Coturnix japonica: one gene and its partner. The protein of the gene in region 1 interacts with the protein of each later gene in a biochemical or structural test. Links are inferred from orthologs where the notes say so. Each region holds a gene or a part of one and is shown on either strand. Other genes may lie near its edges.

The links.
Region 2: the proteins of TLN1 (region 1) and ITGB3 form a complex in vitro, tested with the Homo sapiens proteins (6 studies listed by BioGRID and IntAct, with this or other methods). The link is inferred for Coturnix japonica from reciprocal best matches to the Homo sapiens genes TLN1 and ITGB3.

The regions. Positions count from the first base shown.
Region 1 is NC_029547.1:8,426,939-8,436,788, reverse strand, and holds the start of TLN1 (talin-1), read right to left. Parts: upstream 9,356-9,850; 5' UTR 9,229-9,355; intron 6,022-9,228; exon of another isoform or gene 6,019-6,021; 5' UTR 5,985-6,018; coding exon 5,855-5,984; intron 3,084-5,854; coding exon 2,986-3,083; intron 2,868-2,985; coding exon 2,738-2,867; intron 2,652-2,737; coding exon 2,499-2,651; intron 2,352-2,498; coding exon 2,209-2,351; intron 2,052-2,208; coding exon 1,924-2,051; intron 1,664-1,923; coding exon 1,603-1,663; intron 1,340-1,602; coding exon 1,235-1,339; intron 658-1,234; coding exon 502-657; intron 325-501; coding exon 223-324; intron 43-222; coding exon 1-42. UniProt on the Homo sapiens protein: High molecular weight cytoskeletal protein concentrated at regions of cell-matrix and cell-cell contacts. Involved in connections of major cytoskeletal structures to the plasma membrane.
Region 2 is NC_029542.1:1,802,184-1,812,619, forward strand, and holds the start of ITGB3 (integrin beta-3), read left to right. Parts: upstream 1-4,565; 5' UTR 4,566-4,720; coding exon 4,721-4,891; intron 4,892-8,010; coding exon of another isoform or gene 8,011-8,096; intron 8,097-10,436. Other genes in the region: RPRML (reprimo-like protein), read right to left, coding at 808-1,143. UniProt on the Homo sapiens protein: Integrin alpha-V/beta-3 (ITGAV:ITGB3) is a receptor for cytotactin, fibronectin, laminin, matrix metalloproteinase-2, osteopontin, osteomodulin, prothrombin, thrombospondin, vitronectin and von Willebrand factor.

The DNA of each region.
Region 1 (9,850 bases):
CTCCTCATCTCCCTCCAGGCCAAAGTGGTCTTTGCTCTTTTTCTGTTGAGGCAAAGAGAAAAAGCATTGGTCAGTGCACACCTCACAGTCCCTGCTGCTGCCCAGGCTGGAGAACTGCCAAATCCATGGGAAGTCCCCATCTGTCCCCAGCAGCACCATGAGCACAAGAAGCACCTTGTACTTCTCCCAGAAGAAGAGCAAACTGCTTTTCCCTGAACTTGCCTTTTTCAGGATGATGTCAATGTAGCCAGCAATCAGCTGGGCGATCTGCTCCCCCTCTGTTGTCTGTACCGAGTAGTAGCCATCCTGGTAATCTCCAAAATCCTACAAGGGCACAGCACTGGGTTGCACCAGAGCAGGATGCTGGCGCACATCCTGAGCCCCTCTGGTATGTGCTAAGCACTGTGGCCAGTGCTGTGCCAGCCACTTTCTGCCTGTTCTTGGGGTCAGGAGAGGAAGGGAGCAGGGCACAGAGGGCTGAGAGCTGGGGCAGGCTCCTACCAAGGTGAAGCTCTTGGGGGAGGCTGCCCAGCGCTTGATGTTGGTCAGGCTCCACTCCTGGATCACTTCCTTGGTTTTCTCATCCACACGCATCACACACTCCTTAGTGATCCCCAGCAGACGTGGCACCAGCTTGTTCTTCCCCTTCATCTTCTCCTGCAGGACATGACAAAGGGGTTAGGGGGCTCACCCAAGAGCTGTGTGTGCAGCAAGCAACCCTAGGGCCACAACTCCAGATATGGTAATCACCACATGTGTCTTGAAAAGGTCATGGGGGAAAAGCAGGAACTGAGTGGGAGGGCAGTGCAGATAAAAAGCCACAAAGTCCTTAAGTTGGCAGTAGGTTGCACCAGGGGAAGTTCGGGTTGGATATTAAGAAAAGCTGCTTCTCAGAAACAGTGCTAAGGCACTGGCACAGGCTACCCAGGGAGGTGGTGAAGTCACCTCCACTGGGGGTGTCCAAGAACCAAGGAGATGTGGCACTGAAGGATGTTGTTAGTGGGCATGGTGGGGATGGGTTGGTGGCTGGATTAGATGACCTTAATGATCTTCCCCAACCTCAAAGATTCTATGATTTAAAGAAGGGTAGGCAGATAGCAGGAATACAGGGAGAGCTAGAGCAATGCGGACTGACAGGTAAGTGGTGGGTGGAGATGCAAAAGATGAAGAGATGCTGAAAAGGAAGACTCGGCCAGGCAGCAGGAAAGGCGGGGCTGAAGAGCTTTTGCTCTACCTTGACTAGGAAGAAGGAGACCCCATAGGTCTTGAGGGAGCGGGCCAGCTTCACGTAGCGAACTTTGGCCTCGATCTCACTCATGTTCCCGCAGTTCTTGTGGGCCTGTAATCACCAGAGGACATCAGGTCAGCTACTGTGTTGCCTTCACAGCTTCTCCAGGCTCTCCCCCTGCCCTACCAGCATTCCATTTCCCACCCACACTATCCCTCTGAGCCCCTGGAACCTCAGCGCTGTCACATCTGCCCAACTACAGGCAGACAGTCCTCTTCCTCACCTGCCAGGCTGTGATGTGCTGCAACAAAAGCAGCCCAGACCTCTGGAAAGGAACTGTGACAAGCCTGATCTCAGCACAGCCTCGCACTTACCATAAAGATCTTGCGTTCCCCTTTCTGCTTGATGTATTCCTTGGGCAGGAAGTCTTTCAGCCTGCCAAGAGATAGCAAAATCAGCTCCCAAAGCACAGCCCAAAGCCAGCATTTGTGTTCCCCTATGAAGACGCTTAGCACAGAGCCTTGGACAAAACCCCACCGGTGCAGAGTGTTTTTGGGAACAGGAAGGATGTGGGAGAGGTCACCACAACTAATGACAACTCCAGGACCCAAAACCTTGGAGCCACCCTCTGGGATGATGATACCCTGGAGGACAGAACTTGGCACATGTGCAGAGGGACACCCTGGGACACTCACTCCAGAAAGCCCGGCTTGTGCTTCTGCTCGTTGTGCGGCCCGAACTGGATCTGGCACTGGTAGCCAGCAAACTCACACGCTTTGTCAAATGAGACAGGGTGAGAACCGTTAAGGATGTCATCACGTGCCTAAAAGGGGAGAGAAAACACTGGGGTCTGCCTTGTTCCCTTCCACATCTGGTGGGATCTGTGCCGGCATAGAGGAGCTAGCCAGACACCTGAAATGCCCCTGTGGCTGCTCCTGACCAAACACCAGATGGGTTGTCACAGGGCAGCAGTGCTGTACCTGCACGTAGAGCAGGTTGAGCTGTACAGGATCTCGTGAGTCCACGTTCTGGTCAGAGTAGAAGAACTTTCTTCTCAGCAGTAGCGTCTCGTTATCATCGATGCCTTGCTCACGCAGGGTCCGGCCGTGGTCCAGCCAGTTCACTGCAGGTGATGGCAAAGTGTGAGCAGGGATAGACGGCCAGGCAGGGACAGACAGACAGAGACATACAGACAAACAGGTGGCCTTGCTGCCACTCCCACCACCCCCAGCATGGGATGGTTCTGTCCCCAGAGCTTGCCCACACATACACTCGTCATCGGTGTGCAACTTCTGCTTGAGTTTCTCCATCTTCTTCTCATCCCGCAGCAGGGTCTTATCCTTTTTGAGGGTGCCCGTGACCTCCTCCTTCTTCTCCTCCATGATTTCTCGAACCAGTGAGTACTCGTCATAGTTGGTGATGCCTGCAAGAGCACACAACACTGACCCAGTGCTGCTCCCCTGACACCCCATGTTCCTCTCTGCCCCACGATGCCACCCCTCCTCTCACCAATTCGAGCACATATTGTCATCAGCATGTCTGTAACGGTTTTGGAGTCGTCGACCATAACCGTTTTCACAGTTCCATCCAGCATGCGGATCTTCAAGGGCCGCTGCTTCTTCTTATACTCCATAGTATCCTGCAGGTACAACCAGCATAACTCCAGCAGCCATACAGGCCACAGCGCACCACATCCCCCTGGCTCCCAACTCCCCAGTGGGACCACGGGGCACATACAGTGCTGGCTGGATGCTTACCCCATTACGAAGCATGTAGTAGTCCAGTGCCTTCCCAGCCTCCAGCCAGATCCCCTTCTTTGGGTCTTCATCAGAGAGGAACAGCCCAAAATCATTGGCTGGAAAACACAGAGATTCTGTCTGGTTTGGATCGGGCCACTGGGATGTGCACAGGACAGCAGCACCCCTGAACGCTGCTGGAATTGATTGCAGTGGCCACGAGACCAGGGAAAGCCTGAGTGGGCAAAAAGCTGGCAAACAAACTGCAGAGTGGGTGTTTTACATCTGTTTGTCTGCATGAGAACTCATCTAAAGCATGCCCACACAGTGCTAACTGGGAAGTGGCAGTCACAGCTGACAGATGAGCTCAGAGTGGTGGCTGACAGCTCTCTAAAATGCTTGATGCAAAATATAACAACCAAAAGATGATGATAAAGTGCTGAGCATGGCCAGGAAGGGTGCAGGGAACAAGGCAGAGTTTGCAAACACAACAAGAGAACAGCAGAAGTGATGGACCAGGAAGGGCAGCTGCTTGCTGTGAGGGACTGAAGAAGGATTTGATGGAGGTTTAGAAGGTAAATTTGTGGAGAACTCTGATGTTCTGCAATCCTGCCCACTAGGGTGGGTCTGCTGCTGCCCAGGGACAGCCCTGGCACTGCTGCTACGAGAAGTGCTGCCCTGGGAAAAGCCCTCCTGCTCCCTGCCAGCAGCCTCTGGTTGTGTAAGCAGGCAGGGAGGGGGAAATTCCTGAGCTGCCCCATGCCTGCCCAGCTCATGCTGTGCAGGGGATCCTGCTGAACAGAGCAGGGAACCAGTGAGGCTGCCCTTTGTTGGCTTTTGGAAAAGCAAGCTATTTCCAAAGCCAATTCTAAAAGGCTCATTCTAAAGCACTGAGAACCATGCAGCTCACTCAGATCCCTACACAGGAGGAGAGAGGCACTTCCTGGGGTAGGGCAAGAGCGGAGCAGGAGCTCAGCACAATGTGCACGGAGGTGGCATTCAGCCACAAAACCCAGGCAAAATGCAGGGAACTGGGCAACACCTGTCCCAACAGCTCAGGACTCCCCTGTGGGGCAGGAAAGCAGGCTCAGGGGGGTTTGCTGGGAAACACAGGCAGGGTGTGCTCAGATGGAACTGTAACAGCATCCTGGAAGAGGAGCAGGGCAGCTCCAAAAGGGACCTACAAATGTCACTGGGTAAGGGCAATAAAGAGAAACAAAAGAAAATGGTGAGCTCTGAGGCAGGGATGAGGTAAAAGCAGATAAATGGAAGAACTGCCTTGGGGATTCCCAGCATTGCAACCTCAACATAGGAAGCCACGGACTCCTTTGCAGCAGGGCTGAGTTCCAGCTGCTGCCGGCAGAGCAGAGGGCAATGGTCAGAGCTGGGGCTGAGCAGCTCCCTTTAAGGCTCTCTCCTCTCGCTTTATGAGCAGCCTGGCACAGACCCAGGGGCAGGAAATGCAATGGCTGCGGATCCGAGTAAACACCCCGTCCCCCTCTGAAACCGAAAGCCATGGTTGTGCAGAGCGAGAAGGCATTTCCTCTGCTGCGCCAGGAATCTGCTGCTCCCAGATGTCACTGCCTTCACCCCCCCCTCCTCCCGGAGCTGGGGGTGCCTGTGCTTGGGAACCACTGGGACATGGCTCAGCATCCCGAGGTGCTTTGTCACCCGCTTAATTTTGAGTCTGACGGCAGCGGGGAGATATTACAGCTGACAAAGCTCAGCACAACGGCAGCACGTCACGGCACCACTGAGAGCTGCCGGGGAGGGTATATGTTCCCCAAGAAAGGAAAAGTTAACTTATATGGTGCAGGAATACCCGCTGGGAGCACCGCAGTTGTTGGAGCCCACCGAGCCCTGGCCAGCTTTGTGCAGGCACATAGGAGAGGGAACACAGGAGGCAGGGAAAGGGCTCATAGAGATGGACACATATTTCACTTCCAGTGCATTTTTCCTGCCCCCTCTCCAAGTCCCCAAAATTCTTCCCAAGTTTCTGGGAGGAATATTTCTAAGATTCACTGCATGTTGATGGGAAGCCTAGAGCAGATCAAGGGCGGCACTTGTTGAGCTGAAGAAACTGTTGCCAGTTCTCATGTATCACTTATTTTTGAGCAAGTGACCTTACAAGGTGACAGCCTCTGTGCTCAGGTGAAATCTGCTCCTCCTGGAGCTCTTTTGTGACACTCTGTATAGCTGAGCAATTCCTTCATGTCTGGGAGCCTGAACACCTTGCTAGAACCAAGGTTACTAGAAACAGCTCTATCAGAGCAACCCCTCCAGTTGCTACAGAGAGGGACCTGCATCCCTCTGTGCGACGGAAGGACTACCACAGAAAACCTGATTAGCAGGGGGTTCAACCAGATGATACCCAGAGGTCCCTTCCAACCCCTACAATTCTGTCTGTGTACAGACCTCCAAAATGATACACAGAGCTCAGACATCTTGCAGCAAGATAACACCACTGAACTCCAGCTCAGTGCTCCAGCAAACACTCATAAAGCTTCCCAAGCTCACAATCAAACTTCTTCACCCAAAGTATGCAAGATGCCTTGAACCGAGCTCTCCCATCCATCATGTAGCACCCGGCAAACACCCTGTGGGTGCAGAAACCCAAACCTTGGGGGCACAGAGCAGGAAAGGAAGCTGTGAAGAGCTATTAGATATATATTTTAGAGATGCAAACAGCAGTGCAGCAGCAAGCCATAGAGCTCAGCCTGAAATAAAGCTGCAGGAGTGTGCTGAAATTATGGGTGCTTAAGGGCTGCCCACCCCAGGCAAGGGAGAAGAAATTAGGGCAACTCCAGGGCTGCCAGAAGAGGAAAAAAAGGGTGCAGCTGTGGAAGCAGAAACACGCTTGCAGAGGGCAGGGGATGAGCCCCACACTTACGCTGTCCCATCTGTGCCTCGGGCACGCGCTCCCGGATCATGCGGCAGGCGTCGTACACCATGGTGGAGGGCTCAAACTGCATCGTCTTCACCACATTGCCAATGCTGATCTTCAGCGAGAGGGCAACCATGGTGGCGGCCGGATTATCCCCACTCCTGTGTCACCTGCTGAGGACACGACATGTCAGATCCCACCGCCAGGCACTGGGACATGATGCTGGGTGGGCTGTGCTGATGCTCACCCCTCTGCAGGTGCCTGGAGGTGGTGGGGGAGCAGAGCTCAGAGCTCAGATCCCAACCCAGGAGCAAGTGATGGTGGTGGAGAATAGGGGTACAGACAGAAGGAATTCAGATGGAATTCCCAGCCTGGCCTCCTAATGCAGAGCCCTGGGGTTGCTGTGTCCACATCGTGCACCCAGCGTCCCTGAGTGTGTTGTGCTCGTGCAAAGCCGCGACCCACAGCACAGAGGAAATGCATGTCAAGTAGTGTGCTGAGATAAGGCAGCACTGTGCGACGGAAGGGGCTTTAATTAAAACTGTGGCAAAGAAACCACAAGAAGAAAACCTCACGTGGTGCAGGGTCTGACCCCACTATCGGGATCCTGCAGGGAGCCCTGTGGGGACCCCAGGAAGCGCACACTGTGCTGCTCGAGGAGACAGGGGCTGGGGTATCACCGAGCTTGCTGCAGTCTGCTCCAGGGGGCTCTGGAGCTTCCTCCCCACAAGATCCCGGCGGCCACAGGGCTCTGCTCGGGAGGAGCGCGGTGCCGCCTCCACCAGCGCGTGGAGCCGCTCCAGCTGCGCATTCCTGAGCCGTTCGGCAATGCAGCGCAGGAGCCCCGTCGGAGGCCCTCGGCCCCCGCCGACGAGGAATGCAACGCGAGCGGGACGGCCCCGCACGCAGCCGCCCCGCAGCTTCACGGCCAGGAGCCGTAAGAGGCCGTCGGGGATCCGAGGGGACCGACGGGCGGGGCGGCTGCGGCCGGCGGGACTGGGATCGTTCTCTTTCCTAAATCTAAAAATACCCCGGAACGGAGCGCTGAGCCCTTTCCATCCCTCCCCCCGCTTCTGCCTGCAGGGCAGGGTCAGGGAGCGGGGAGGAAGAGGAGAGCAGAGGCAAGCAAAGTGATTGAAACTGTCCCAAAGCAGGACAGCACTGCAAAGAAAACGGGATGCCGCACCCGGCCAGCAGAGCGGCTCGGCCTCACTCGTGAATTGCTGCAAAATCGGCCCAGAGCTGCAGGATGTGCTGGAGGGGAAACTGCAGAGCGACACGGGCAGCTCCAGCTCTGCGGGGCCGGCAGCAGCCACACGTGGCCACCATCCTGCACCCCAAATGGTGCTGTGCCCCCAAATAGCGCTGTGCAAGGCACTTAAGACACGTAAAAACCAGAGGCTCGTTGCTCTTTCCACGTTCTAAGGAAGTGCTTTGAGCACTACCCTCCACCAGTGTGTAAAGCAGAAGTAGTCTATTTAGAGCAGCCCTGTAACAACGTGGCGGTGGGGAAGGTCTGGCTGACTGCTGCCTCACACGGGATGGGATGCACGGGGAAGAGCTGGGTAGATTTCCACACTGGGGGTATGCATGGGGACAGAACACGGGTCCACCGCAGGGGTTGGGTGCATTTGGGCATCAGAGGGCAGCGAGAGCCCTTCTGTGGGCTCTGCGGAGGCACCAGCACGGCAGGAAGCAGATGTGGGGCTCTGTGCTGATGACAGCACCGGCACAAGGGCCACACCGTCATGGTGCCCTGAGGGCACAGACCAGACAAAGTACAAGAAGAGGACTCCCAGCCCCAGGCTGCTCCACTAGGAGGTGAAAAAAAACAACGAAAAGCCAAACGATGTGATGAATGCACACCAATTTTCAGCACTGGCCGCCCTCCAGGGAGAGCAAACAAGTCAGCAGCGCTCGCTGGTAGGCGAGGCAGATAAGCCAGCACAGCAGCAGCGGCTGCGGGCACTTCTGCATTTCTCTTCCCTTCCCCACGACGCCTCCGCCGCCATCCCCGAGGCACAGAGCGATTTTCCACCCCATGACGTCGCCGCTGTATTTATACCTCCCGGCTTCACAGCAGCGCTGCTGCAAGCACGGGTACAGAGAAAGTTTTATGTTAGCAAAAAAAAAAAAAAAAAAAAGAGAAAAGAAAGAAAACAAAGCAGAGCCCGACCAGGTTCTACCGCATGGGCTGTGCCTGCAAGGCAGCCCCACTGCACGCCCGTGGCACACATCCAGCGGCCGCAGAGCTTTCCCGAAGGAACCGAATTCACTGCCCTGAGCTCGGGGAAAGGGTCGGCAGTGTGACCGCACCAAAGGAAGTTCCCACAGCCCTTCCGCTCCTGCGGGGAGCACCCCGCACCTCGGCACAGCACAGCACTTTAAGGACTGTAACTGCTTTGTTCTGCGCTTTCTTGTGTGTGTGTGTGTTGCTGGTTGTTTTTTTTTGGGTTTTTTTTGCTTTTCCTTTTAATCATTTCAGAGAGCTCAGCGCGGTTCGGTCTCACGCTCCGACGCCTTTCCCCTCCTCCACCGAATGGCAGAAGTTAATGTTTTAACCCAGAGGCAACAGCGCCGGTCCCGCAGCACCGCGGATCCCGGGCGGGCAGCTCGGTGACTCAGCCCCACGCAGCTCGGCTGATTCACGCCGCTTCCTCCTCTCCGGCGGCCGCGGCCGGTTCGTGCCCGCCGGGGATGGGCGCCGTGCGGCATCGGGCTGACAGCGGGGACGGCGACTTGGTGCCCGGTGAACGGCTCCGGGACGGCTCCCTGCAGCACGGAGCCGCACCGCACCTTCCCCACCCGCATCCTAAAGCGACGGCGGGAACGGGGGATGCTCCGACCGTCCCACGCCCCGACCCGCCTTGCAATACAGCCCCGCAGCGCAGCGGCACCCACGCCCGCCGGCCCGCGCGGGGTGTCCCCGTCCCGCAGCATCGCTTCCAAATATGGGTCTGGAAGAGATGCAGCCCCGGGGCCGGGCGGGGGCGCGGAGCTCCGGGGCCGGGCGGGGGGTTCAGCCGCAGGGTCGGACCGCCTCGCTCCCCACGCGGGGCCGCGGTCGCGCCGTGGGTGCGGGAAACAGGATGCGGCCGCGCTCCTCCCGCACGGAGCGCCCAGGGGCGGCGGCCAAGCCGGGGTGGGGCGCGCCCGGTCCCGCTGCGCTCCGCCGCACGCGGGGTCTTATCACGCAGCGCTCCCCCCGCGCACCCCAACGTTCCCCGCGTTGGCAGCAGCCCCCACCCCGCGCCTCGTGCCGCCGCGATGCCGCCGCTCCGACCGCTCTCCCCTCCCCCCCGCTCCCCGCCCAGCCGCAGCCCCGCGGTGTCGGTGCGTGGCCGCCCGTCCCGGTGCCGGTGCCGGTGCCGGTTCCGTACCTGAGCGCGGCCGAGCAGCGCGCTGGGGCCCGCCGAGGCTGAGCGGCACAGCGCCGGCACCGCCCCAGCACCGCCCGCCGCAACACGCAGCGCATGCGTCGGGGGGAGCGGAGCGGAGCGGCGCGGAACGGCACGGCCCACGGGCTGCGCTATAATGGGCCGTACTGGGCCGTAAAGGGCTGTAATGGGCCGTACTAGGTTGTAATGGGCTGTACTGGGCTGTAATGGGCCGTACTGGGCTGTAATGGGCCGTACTGGGCTGTACTGGGCCGTAATGGGCTGTACCGGGCTGTAATGGGCCGTACTGGGCTGTAATGGGCCGTACTGGGCTCTAGCTGGGCTGTACTGGGCTGTAGTGGTCTGTAATGGGCTGTAGTGGGCTGTAATGGGCTGTAGTGGGCTGTAATGGGCTGTGCTGGGCTGTAGTGGGCTGTAATGGGCTGTACTGGGCTGTAATGGGCTGTACTGGGCTGTGCTGTGCTGTACTGGGCTGTAATGGGCTGTACTGGGCCGTACTGTGCTGTAATGGGCTGTACTGGGCTGTAATGGGCCATACTGGGCTGTAGTGGGCTGTAATGGGCTGTGCTGGGCTGTGCTGGGCTGTACTGGTCTGTAATGGGCT
Region 2 (10,436 bases), on another chromosome or scaffold:
AATGTTCACCACTTTTCAAAAGCAGCTACAAAAAAAAACCTCAAAGACCGTAACAATGCAGCACTCAGGGAGGGGAAAAAAGGCCACTACGTACAAAACAAACATGCTTTTTGGGGAAAGATGGAATGGTTTTGGTGTTTATCGGGGTTTCTTATCTTCCTCCGGCACAGTGTGAAAGAGGAAATCTGCATTTTATTTGACAGGACGGTTCAGAATCGAGGAGGAACATGCTCTCCCTGTTACAAAACCACCTGGCGGTGCATGCGGGAGGTCCAGAACACAACAGATTGACACATTTCATAGCATGCAGACTTTGCTGTCCGACCCACACAGCCCTTCCCTTCCCCTACCCCACAGACAAAGATGTGGTCCATGCCACGCACTCCACTTCCCCCATAGTTTCTTCTCATTCTGTAGTGAGTTTGCTCTTTTTTTCTTTTACATTTTCTTCACTTTTGATTTTTTTTAGCCCTAAATCCCAAGAGGCGGTATCCAAGGTAACAGCAGACAAGAGTCCAGATCTGCACATTATCGCCGTTTCTGCAAGTTTCATGCAAAACTTAAGCCATTTCTGCATGCAACACGATGCTGGTCGTTGCACTTCACATAGCGCTGGGGACATCTCCCCATTCACCACGATGGAGTTTGCTCACTGTGAAGCACTGATTTGCTTTCCCGTGGACACAGACACATGAAAAGACATCACCCCCCCCCTTCCCTTTCCCATTCCCCCCAACTGCCCCGAACACATGGGCACGTGCATCTCAGCACCAGCTCCAGCCACTTGCCTACACTTGCTCCACGGCATCAGTAGAGCCCCATGATCGCGGCTCCCACGTCCTTGGAAGGTCTTCGGTCCTTCACCAAAAAGTTAATCATGCTCTCCGACTTGATGAGCAAATTGCAGCCCAAAAAGAAGATGCCAAACACCACAGTCAAGGAGAGGACGCAGAGGACGGCGATCTGCACCACGCGTGTGATGTACAGGCTACGCTCATCGGGCACCAGCACCGAGGAGCTGCCATCGGGTGCCAGCACCGAGCTGGTCCCATTGCAGCAGGCCAGGAGCAACCCCAAACCCCGGGTCCTGTTGGGGTATGCTCCTTGCTCCAGGAGGCTCTGGTTGAAGAAGGATCCATTCATGGTCTACGTGGGGTCCCAACCGTCGGAGGAAGGCAGGATGGAGCTGGCGGTCCCCCAGCTGGTCTCACATCCCGCAGGCTCCGTGCCACCTCCTGCCTGTCTGCTCCTGATGCCTGGGCTGGAAGGGAAGGAAAGGTGTGCAGAGAGGGGCGGCGGGCTGCCAGCTGCCACCAGCAACTCAGCACAGTCACCCGAGCACGGAGAGGGAAGGAGAAGGGAGCACGGGGCAGAGGAAGGCAGTAGGAGGCGGTTGCATGCTCCCTGCCATGCTGCCACCCCGAAGCAATGGGGACTCCCAGCAGGAGCCGGGGGCTGATGCCTGCCGGCTGGGAGCTCCACGGATGCAAGTTCCCAGCTCAAGTCTTCCCCGTGTTCAAAGAAAAACCAGCAACTCCACCCCCTTGCAGCCTCCCCCCAGGACCGCCTTCCTCCCCCCTCCAAGCTCACCCAGGCTGCCCACCCCTTCCCCATGCTGCTGCATCCCCTCATCCTGCTATGGGGGCCCAAACCCACACCTGTGCTACCCCCTGGCTGTGTGCTAACCCCTGAGGTCCTGCCATACTGCATCCTCTCCCCCAGCCCTCCACCTGCTTCCCAGAGCAGCCCACCATGTCGGTGTTGGGCCTGGGTCACCAGCAGCTCCCCTGTTCCCCCCCACACACCCTCCTGTGAGCTTCAGGTCTGTGCTGCTCTCACCGATCCCTGCTTGCTGCTCTGTGCCACCCACTCCTTCCTTAGAGCAGCGCTGGCCCAATCCAGCCCCGTCCACCCCCAGCTCTGCTCTGTTCTTCTGTCCTACACTGACAACTGGATCATCATCCTCTGGCTGGGGGATGTTTACACCCAGGCACCTCCATTTCCCCTTCTCATGCTCCTTTATCCCCATCAGAAGGAAGCACAGTGATGCTGCACCCCGATCTCTGCATCCCACCCCCATTCCCAGCTCAGGGTCCTACAGCAGCAGCAGCTGTGGTCCATGCACCGTGAGTGGGTGCAGATGTGTTCGGGTGGTGCAGGACAAGAGATGGCCATGACATGGAGACTGTGCTCTGATTGATCTGTGTACGTCTCAGCTCGCTTTGCTTGCACAGCCCCCAGAGGGGATTTTAATAAACCCAAATGAGAATTGATAAATTGCAGCTAAAGACGTGAGCAGGAGGCCAGTCGGATGGGGGTGGAGGGTGGCTTGGTAGGAACACATCAGTGATTTCTCTATTAAACAGATGAGAGCTGAGTCTCTATATTTTGCTTTTGTGGCTTTTAGGGGCCCAAAGCAGCTTGCTTTGACTTTTACTTGTTGCTTTTTCCTCCTGGTAGCATTGCTCCCCCACACTCCATAAGGTTATTTTGCAGCAGAAGGAATGAAGCTGGAAGCCTGGATGGGACAAGGGGACGGAACCCCCTGCATTTAACCCCAGGGCCAGGAAAGATCCCCCTGGGAGAGCAGAGCATCCCAGTGGCAGCTCCTTTCCCCGCTGCCTCCGGGCTGGAGGAGTTTCTGCTCCCTCTGCTGGCTCCAGTTCCAGCTCCAACCTGTTCTGTATGCCGGAACAGGGCACTGCAGCATCACACAGGGATCACAGCCATCCCCTGGGGACACAGGGACATGGGAACACTCAGCTCTTGGCTGCTCTTCACCTTAATTCAAAGAAGGGCTTCACAATGCAGAGCATCCCACGATTGATTCCCCCCAGCTCAGTTTTTGTCCAGCTCTCCAACTCCCAAAGAGCAGCAATGAGAGCCCATGCTCTACCCAGTGCCTCCCACCCTCGTGTGCCCCACATCCCCATCACAGCAGTTCTTACAGGACAAGCAGCAGCCAGGAAAGGGTTCAAGGACTCAAATACATATTTATTTATTTTTTTTATCCTTTTTCCTTCTTTTTAAAAGGCTTTGGAAGCATGAGCTGGAGTATCCCACTCTGCTTGCACACAGGGCTGTGTCCATTTGCTAGGCCAGGCACCCAGGACAGGACCCCAAGAACCATGGGGATGTGGCACTGAGGGACACAGTCAATGGGCACAGTGGGGGTGGGTTGGGTTTGGGGATCTGAGAGGTCCTTCCCAACCTTTACAATTCTATGACCCTAAGAGGACCTGTGGGACTGACAGCTCGGCCCATTGAAGCACAGATGCAGGTTGGGCAAAGAATGGCTTGAGAGCAGCCCCAAGGAGAAGGATCTGGGGGGTGTTGGTTAATGAAAGACTCAGTATGAGCTGACAATGTGTGCTTACAGCCCAGAAGACCAACTGTGGATCGCAGTGTGACCAGCAGGGTGAGGGTGGTGATTCTGCCCCCCTGCTCTGCCCTCATGAGACCATATCTGTAGTATTTCATCCAGTTCTGGACCTCATAACACAGTTATTCCACAAGATGGAGTTACTGAATAGGGTCCAGGGGAGGGCCACAAAGATGATCAGAGGGCTGGAGCACATCCTTCATGAGGACAGGCTGAGAGCTGGGGCTCTTCAGCCTGGAGAACAGAAAGCTCCAGGGAGACTTTATAGCCTTTCCACTACTTGAAGGGAGCCAACAGGAAAGCTGGGTTGGGACCTTTTAGAAGGGAAGCTAGCAACAGGACAAGGGGAAGTGGTTTTAAACTGGAAGAGGGAAGATTTAGGCTAGATATTAGGAGGAAATTCTCTGCTGTGACAGCTGTGAGACACTAGAACAGTGAGGTAGTGGATACCCCTCCCTGGAGGTGTTCGAGACCAGGCTGGATGGAGCTGTAAGCAACCCAGCTTCAATTGAAAAGCAGCACTTTATCAACACTACATGAGGACCGACGGGTTTCTCTGGGTCCCTCCTTAGCAAATCCACGTCAGCGAGGCAAAGGGAAGATCCCAGAAGGAGAATGTCCCCTTAGAGCAGAGTCCCGACGGCCGCCGGAGGGCAGCAGCTCTGCAGGGAGGGTGGGATGAGGGGGAAAAAGCGACAACGGGGCGAATTTTCAGGCCAAGAAAGTGCCGCTATTGGAGCCGGGAAAGCCTCGGTTCCCGTGTTGTCTCCATCTGAGGGTACGGACAGATGCAATGAGCCCCACGCAAGCAGCGGGGGAGGGCTCTGTAAGGATCTGTGCCTGCTGACTGTGGGAGAAAACCAGCACAGCCAGCAGAGAATCAGCTCCAAATCACGTATCCCAGTCTGAATTTCCCTCCCTCCGTGATGTCGGGTTTGTACCCATCCCTCTGCACAGCTCCGGGGCTGTTCCAGCAGGGATTCTCCCACCTGAAAGACTGCAGAGAACCCACACTTTCATTGCAATACGCATGTGCTCTGTTTCCCCTTAAATCCTCACGCTCTGAAGCAGCTCAGCCTCAGCAAGTTTAAAACCCACGCGGCCGAAAGGGTTAATGAAGGGAGGGAGTGAGCGAGGTTTTGCAAGCAATTAAACCCGGTAGAAGAGCCTGCTACAGCCGGTCCTGCACTTTGTGCCCAGGTTCATTAAGACCTTTTTAGAGTCGAGAGAAGGAATAAGCACAGGGATCTCCGGGGGCAGGACGGGAGGAGGCACTGCCCGACTGCAGTTCGAGTGACGAAGCAACGTAGCTTCCTCCGGCCGCCCAGCTCGGTGTGTATGTGTGTCACACACACCCAGCGCATGATTCATCCCTTGGACGGCTCTAAACCATCTCAAAATCACACGGCGGGGCCGTCCCACACCCCTATAGCCGGGGTTCGGAGGAGGAGATGGATGAACTCCGAGTCGTTTTCAGCATCTTGGTGCTCTGCGCTGCTGGCAGCTGGGGTAGGTGTGGGGCTGGAATGCTGGGTTTGCCCTGACATTGCATGCAGTGCTTGGGTTGCGTGCTGTCATCCCTAAACCCTGGGATTCTCTTCATTCCCACGCTGTCGGGAAAGTCGCTCAGAGGGGTGGCAGGCAGAAGGTGACCTCAGCACAGATCCCCATTGCTGAATTTACCCTATTTTCGGGGTTCCCCGCTCTCTTCTCACTTTGGGCAGTGTGAACTCAGCCCTTTCTCCCTGTGCAGTGCTTGGCTGTGGTGCTGGTTTGTAGTGGGAGCACTGGGGTGGGCTCTGTAAGCAGGCGGTAAGGGCAGAGCGCAGGGTCAGCAGTTGCTGTATCCACCTCATTTTAGGGGGTCAGCATTCATCAAATCCATTTTTCTCCTGTTCTTTTGGTGCTGGTCTTTCAAAGCCCTGATTTCTGGCACCGGAACAAACGCAGTTTGCGTTGTTCAGAACTTTACGTGCCTTGTGGAGGAGCAGCCCAGGGAAGGGAATGTCCTCCCCAGGTGCTTTCCTGAGCTCAAATCAGAAAGCAAATCCCGCAGCCACAAAAGGGTGTTGTTCAGCTCCCGGTCTGTAAATCAACCTCATTGTTTTGGAGACCCGACCCGAGGGGATTTGGGTCAATGTTATTTTGGTTAAAGAATGCTGGATTCGCTGGGTTCCCAGGAACAGCCCGAGGCTGCGATGTGCTGAGCCAGCTGTATGGATGCGCTCACCCCTAGGAGAGTCTGAGTTTGTAGGGTTGCACTTTTGGGGCTGTGCGTTTATCCGGTCCCATAACCATCCTGGGACATCTCCTCTGCAGGAAGATGCTGGTAAATGAGGAAATATTCCAAGAAATGACATAGCCCCGGATGGAGCTATGAGCAGGAGCAGCCAAAAAAAGCCCAGCTCCCTATTGCTTAGTCAAGCAGAAAACCCAGAGATGATGTCAAAACAACTTGTATCCATACCAAGTATTTCTAAAGCATCCTTATCAAGAACTCTGCATATTAGCAAGGGGAAAAGCTGGCTCACACAGCACACGGGGTGTAGGCTGAGGTCTGAGTAATTTCTCCCAGCCAGGGAAGGGGGATGCTCAGCCACAGACGTCGGTTGGGGCATTCCAAGTGCATCATTTGCAGTGCGCTGTCTGAACACTTCTTGGCCCTGACGGTGCTTCCTGTGCTGCTCATGTCAGCACCCCACGTTCCATGCATTGGGATTTCTTTTCTTATTTGAAGACCCGAGTCTTCAGGAGCAGCTCGTTATAGGAGGGCAGCTGTTTTCATAGTAATGAAAACAAATAAAGGCAGCTTTTGCGCTTTGGTTGGTTCGCTTTTATGACTGGAAAAGAAAAACCAAGACCTAAAAATTAGTGGGGAAAAGAAAATAAATCAGATACACAGAGTTTATTAGTTTAGGCTGTGCTGGAATCTTGTTAACCTGCTCATGGCCAGGCAGAACTCAGAGGGCTGTGAGCAGGGTGTGCTCAGCCTTCAGTATCCCCTGCTCTCCTCCAGACTTGGTTTTGCAACCACAGCATCTTTGCTCCTTGATGCATCCTGCTGTGTCCAGCCATGCAAACAAAGCTGTAGATGACAAAATAGGGGTATTTCCCAAGGTAGGAGGTGAGGCTGGGGACAATCCCCTTCATGTTCACATAGTGATAACAGCTCTGCATTAAGCACTGCTGGCACCTGGGGGATTTGGGCTCCTCCCAGTGGGTCAGAGCTGTGTTCAGCTGTGTTGAGCACACCAAGGATGGCTCAGTAAAGCCCCACATCCTCAGACACATGCCCTGGTCATGGGACGATGGGGCAAACCACCTGATTTATAGTCCTGGGTACCAAAATCAGGCAGAAAATGGGGTCCCCAGCACAGAGGGGGGGTCCTGGGCACCTTTGTTCCACCCCAACCAAGGGGACACAGTGCTGCTCTGGGATGTTAGTGAGGCACAGGGCTCCCCTGCATCTTGCAGTTCAGAAGCTGCTCCCAACTTTGGGCTCCCACAGAGGCTTTCTCACTGTGATAAGCTACAGCTGGGGATTTTGGTGTATGCTGAGAGCTCTGGGTGTGGGTACAACCCCAAAACTGAGCAAACACGAGATGCTGCAGGGCCATGTGTCTAAGCATGGTGTCATTCTCTGTGTCCCAGCATTGGCCCCATGCTCAGCTCCTTGTACCACCATGTTCATGCAGGAACATGCATCCACACTGCACAACACCCTTCATGCCAGAGGGCACAGACACACCAATAACTGTAGCTGTGGCTGTGCCCAAAGCCCAGACCTCACCGTTCTGCTGTTTCCTCTTTGTGTTTCACAATGTATTTCCTCCCATTTTTGCAGAAAACATTGCAGCTGCAAAGGGAGGGCCTTGAGTAGGGAATGAGGGAACATAGGGGGATCACAGCAACTTCACACTGGTACTGGGAGATCTCAGGGCTGCAGTGGGGGCACACAGCACCCATAGGGCCCAGCTGCCCCATGGATGCTGGGGACCACTGTACCTCAAGAGGGAGGAAGAGCTGAGGGTGATGATGTCGTGGCCATGTCCCCATCCCCTCATTGCATCAGCTGTTGGAACCAGAGAGCCATACAGTTCCCAGCTCTGCCCTTCCTGCCCCATGAGTGGACATGATATCTTCCAATTGAGGTGTGCGTCTCCTGACATCCTCACTGCCAATCCCACTGGTGGAACAACAGATTTACCCAGAGCGGTATCACAAGCAGCTGTCAGCTTCATTTTGGTCAGAAGCCACTTCTCTTTCTTTTCTTTCCCCCAGCTGGAGCAGGTGGGACAGTTTGTTACACCCAGAGCTCACCACAGCCCCAAAATACCCACAGAGAGGCACCAGGGATGATGTCTCCCAGGGCTGCAGGGTTAGGGACACAGTAAGGGGCTGGCAATGGGTTGGCAGGTGGGAGATGTCAGCAGGATGGAGCCCAGCTGGTGCTGGGCTGTGGGGGAGGTGGCTATTAAATGAACAGGGAGGGAAGCACTGGATTTGGAGCTGGGAAAGGGGTGAGGTTATGTATGTGGGATTGGGCTTTGCTTGCTGTCTGAGTTCATAGGGCTGTGTGGTGGTGGTGGTCAGCAGGTAATGACAGCTCTCTGTTTTGTTGTTCCAAGGGAGTAACATCTGCACTACCCGAGGGGTGACCTCCTGCAAGCAGTGCCTGGCTGTCAGCCCACTCTGTGCATGGTGCTCTGCAGAGGTGAGTGCTGGGCTGAACTTGAGATGGGCTTTGGGCTGTGGGATGGTGTGTTGCAGCTACATCCAATTCCGTCTGTTCCCACTGTGTCTAAATACACCCCTCAGTGGCATCTGGTAGTGGCTATAGCAGTGTGCACCATGGGGTTTGGTCTGGGTTCCTGCTTTGCTCTCAAAATCTACCCCTTGTCTGGGTAGGAGCTCTGGGAAGTGCTGCTTTCGTCCATTGACAACTCATTTTGTCTCATACTGTGTGCTTGGAAAGTTGGTTCCCTTTTTGTTGGCTTCTTGAAAGCTCCTTGTGAAGCTCTGACTAAAAGGAATCTGATTCATGGAAAGGCTGGAGAGGGGATTTAAGAGAAGGAAAAATAACACTGATTAGAACTTGTGTTTGGGTTTAAATGCCTTTTAACCATGGGAAAATGGGGGATGGGAAGATGAGGATCCTGTTTTAGGTTATGGAGTTAAAGGGGACGTGAGGGCTGAGCTATGGCTCTGAAATCCATTATCTGGGTGTGGGTGAGATGTGGGAAGATGTGCCACTATGCTCTCCAAAAATGCTGCCCTTAGGGTTGGTCTATCAGGGGTGTAAGAGAGGAAGTTCCCAACAATGATGCATCTGGTGAGCTGCAGATAAAGGGGACTTATGGCTGCAGGGCTCAGTGAGGCACTGCTGTAACAATGCACTCCTTGTGTGTTGCAAGAAAGCACAAAGAAAGGTCTTGTCTTTGTCTCCTGCTTCTGCAAATGTGGAATTCATCCACAAATGGGGATGGGGAGAAGACCAGGAGTATTGACCTGATCTGTGGGATGATCCCCAATTGCTGCCCACCTGTAGGTCCCAGCAGATCCCATTGTGTCTCCCAGCATCTTCCCATTGCAGGGTGCATAGAGATGCTCATGTGGATGAGCCCCATTTATCTCCTGCAAGGAGTGGCTCAATTTATGCCATGATAAGGACTCAATCCTCTGTCTGCTCCTCCCCAGCCTGGGCTACTGGTGTGTTAACACTGCAGTTGGGGCTGTTATGGTTTTAGCTTTTTGTTGTGCTCTTACCCCCCCGACATCAGCAAAGGTTTCCAAAAAAGGCAATATTTCAGGCACTGTTTGGGGTTGTGCTCGTGGACGGACGTAACAAGCAGTGGAAGAGCGTCCCACTGCAAGCAGCCGGGCTGTGCAAACTACTCACAGCTCTGCCTCCAACATCTGGAGAGCATTGTCTTAATTTAGCAAATTTAGGGCTTTTTGCTGAGGGTTTGTTTAATATCCCCGGGGTGGGTGAGGTCTCTGATCCCCCCTCCCTTTTTTTAAAGGCAGAGTGCCCCTTCTTGCACTCTTTCCTTTCCCACCCAGGGTTAACAGTTACTCCTGCTCTAGGCTTTGGGCAAGAGGGGAATTTTGTTGCTGTTTCTTGTGAGCTCAGTAGAGAACAGCTGACTTTATTTTTCTGGAGCCCTGACCACCCTTACCAGCTAATGGATGTGCCCACCCAATTACTTTCCCTTAGGGGAAAAGCCAGCTGAATCTTAAAGCTCTGAGATAGCTTTAGAGAGTATCATGGCAGATTTTCCAGGGTCTCACCTACCCTAAATATCAACTGCTCCATTCCCCTTAGAGAGAAGGGGGAGGCAGTGCTGGGCCAGGGCTTGGTTTGGAGAAGCTGTGGAAGCTTTTAGCTTGATCTGCAGAGATGTCTATGCCTTGGGTCCTCCCACCAGCTCCCCTGCAGAGAATCCCTCCCTGTATGTGGTTGCTTACGAGATGAAAATGGAGATGCCCTGGAGACGTGCATTGTGTTGCAGTGGTGATGGGGTGGGATGGGGCTGGTTCTGACAGCACCCTGCCTGGCCCTGTTCCCTCTTTTGGGGTTTAGAGGTGGAGATTGGGGTGAACCCATTAGATACCCAGTCCCAGAGAGAGCTTGTGCAGGTGGGAGATTGAAACCCTGGTCAGAGAATGACAGAGTGGGTAAGGGGTTGGAAGGGACCTATGGAAGTCACTGATCCAGCTGCCCAGAGGGGATGTGAGTTGAGGAGCATCTGCAAGGAGCTGTGGGGTGGTTTGTGATGGAGGTGGGACCCCCTGCCCTGCAGCATCTCCTTCATGGGGAGCCCTTACTGGTGCTGCTGTGCTAGTGGGTCTGGTCTGCCTCTGAGTCACTCCATCTCCACGTCAACAGCCTTTAGGAAATGGAGAAGGATGGTGGTTCTGGGGTGAAACAGCTTCTGCATGGGTATCTCTTAGTAGGAATTATACTGCTGATCCTGGGAGGGATGTGTGCCCTTCTGGAGCACACCAGAATCTCAGGGTATCACCAAAGAGTCCAGAATCATAGTTAAAAACC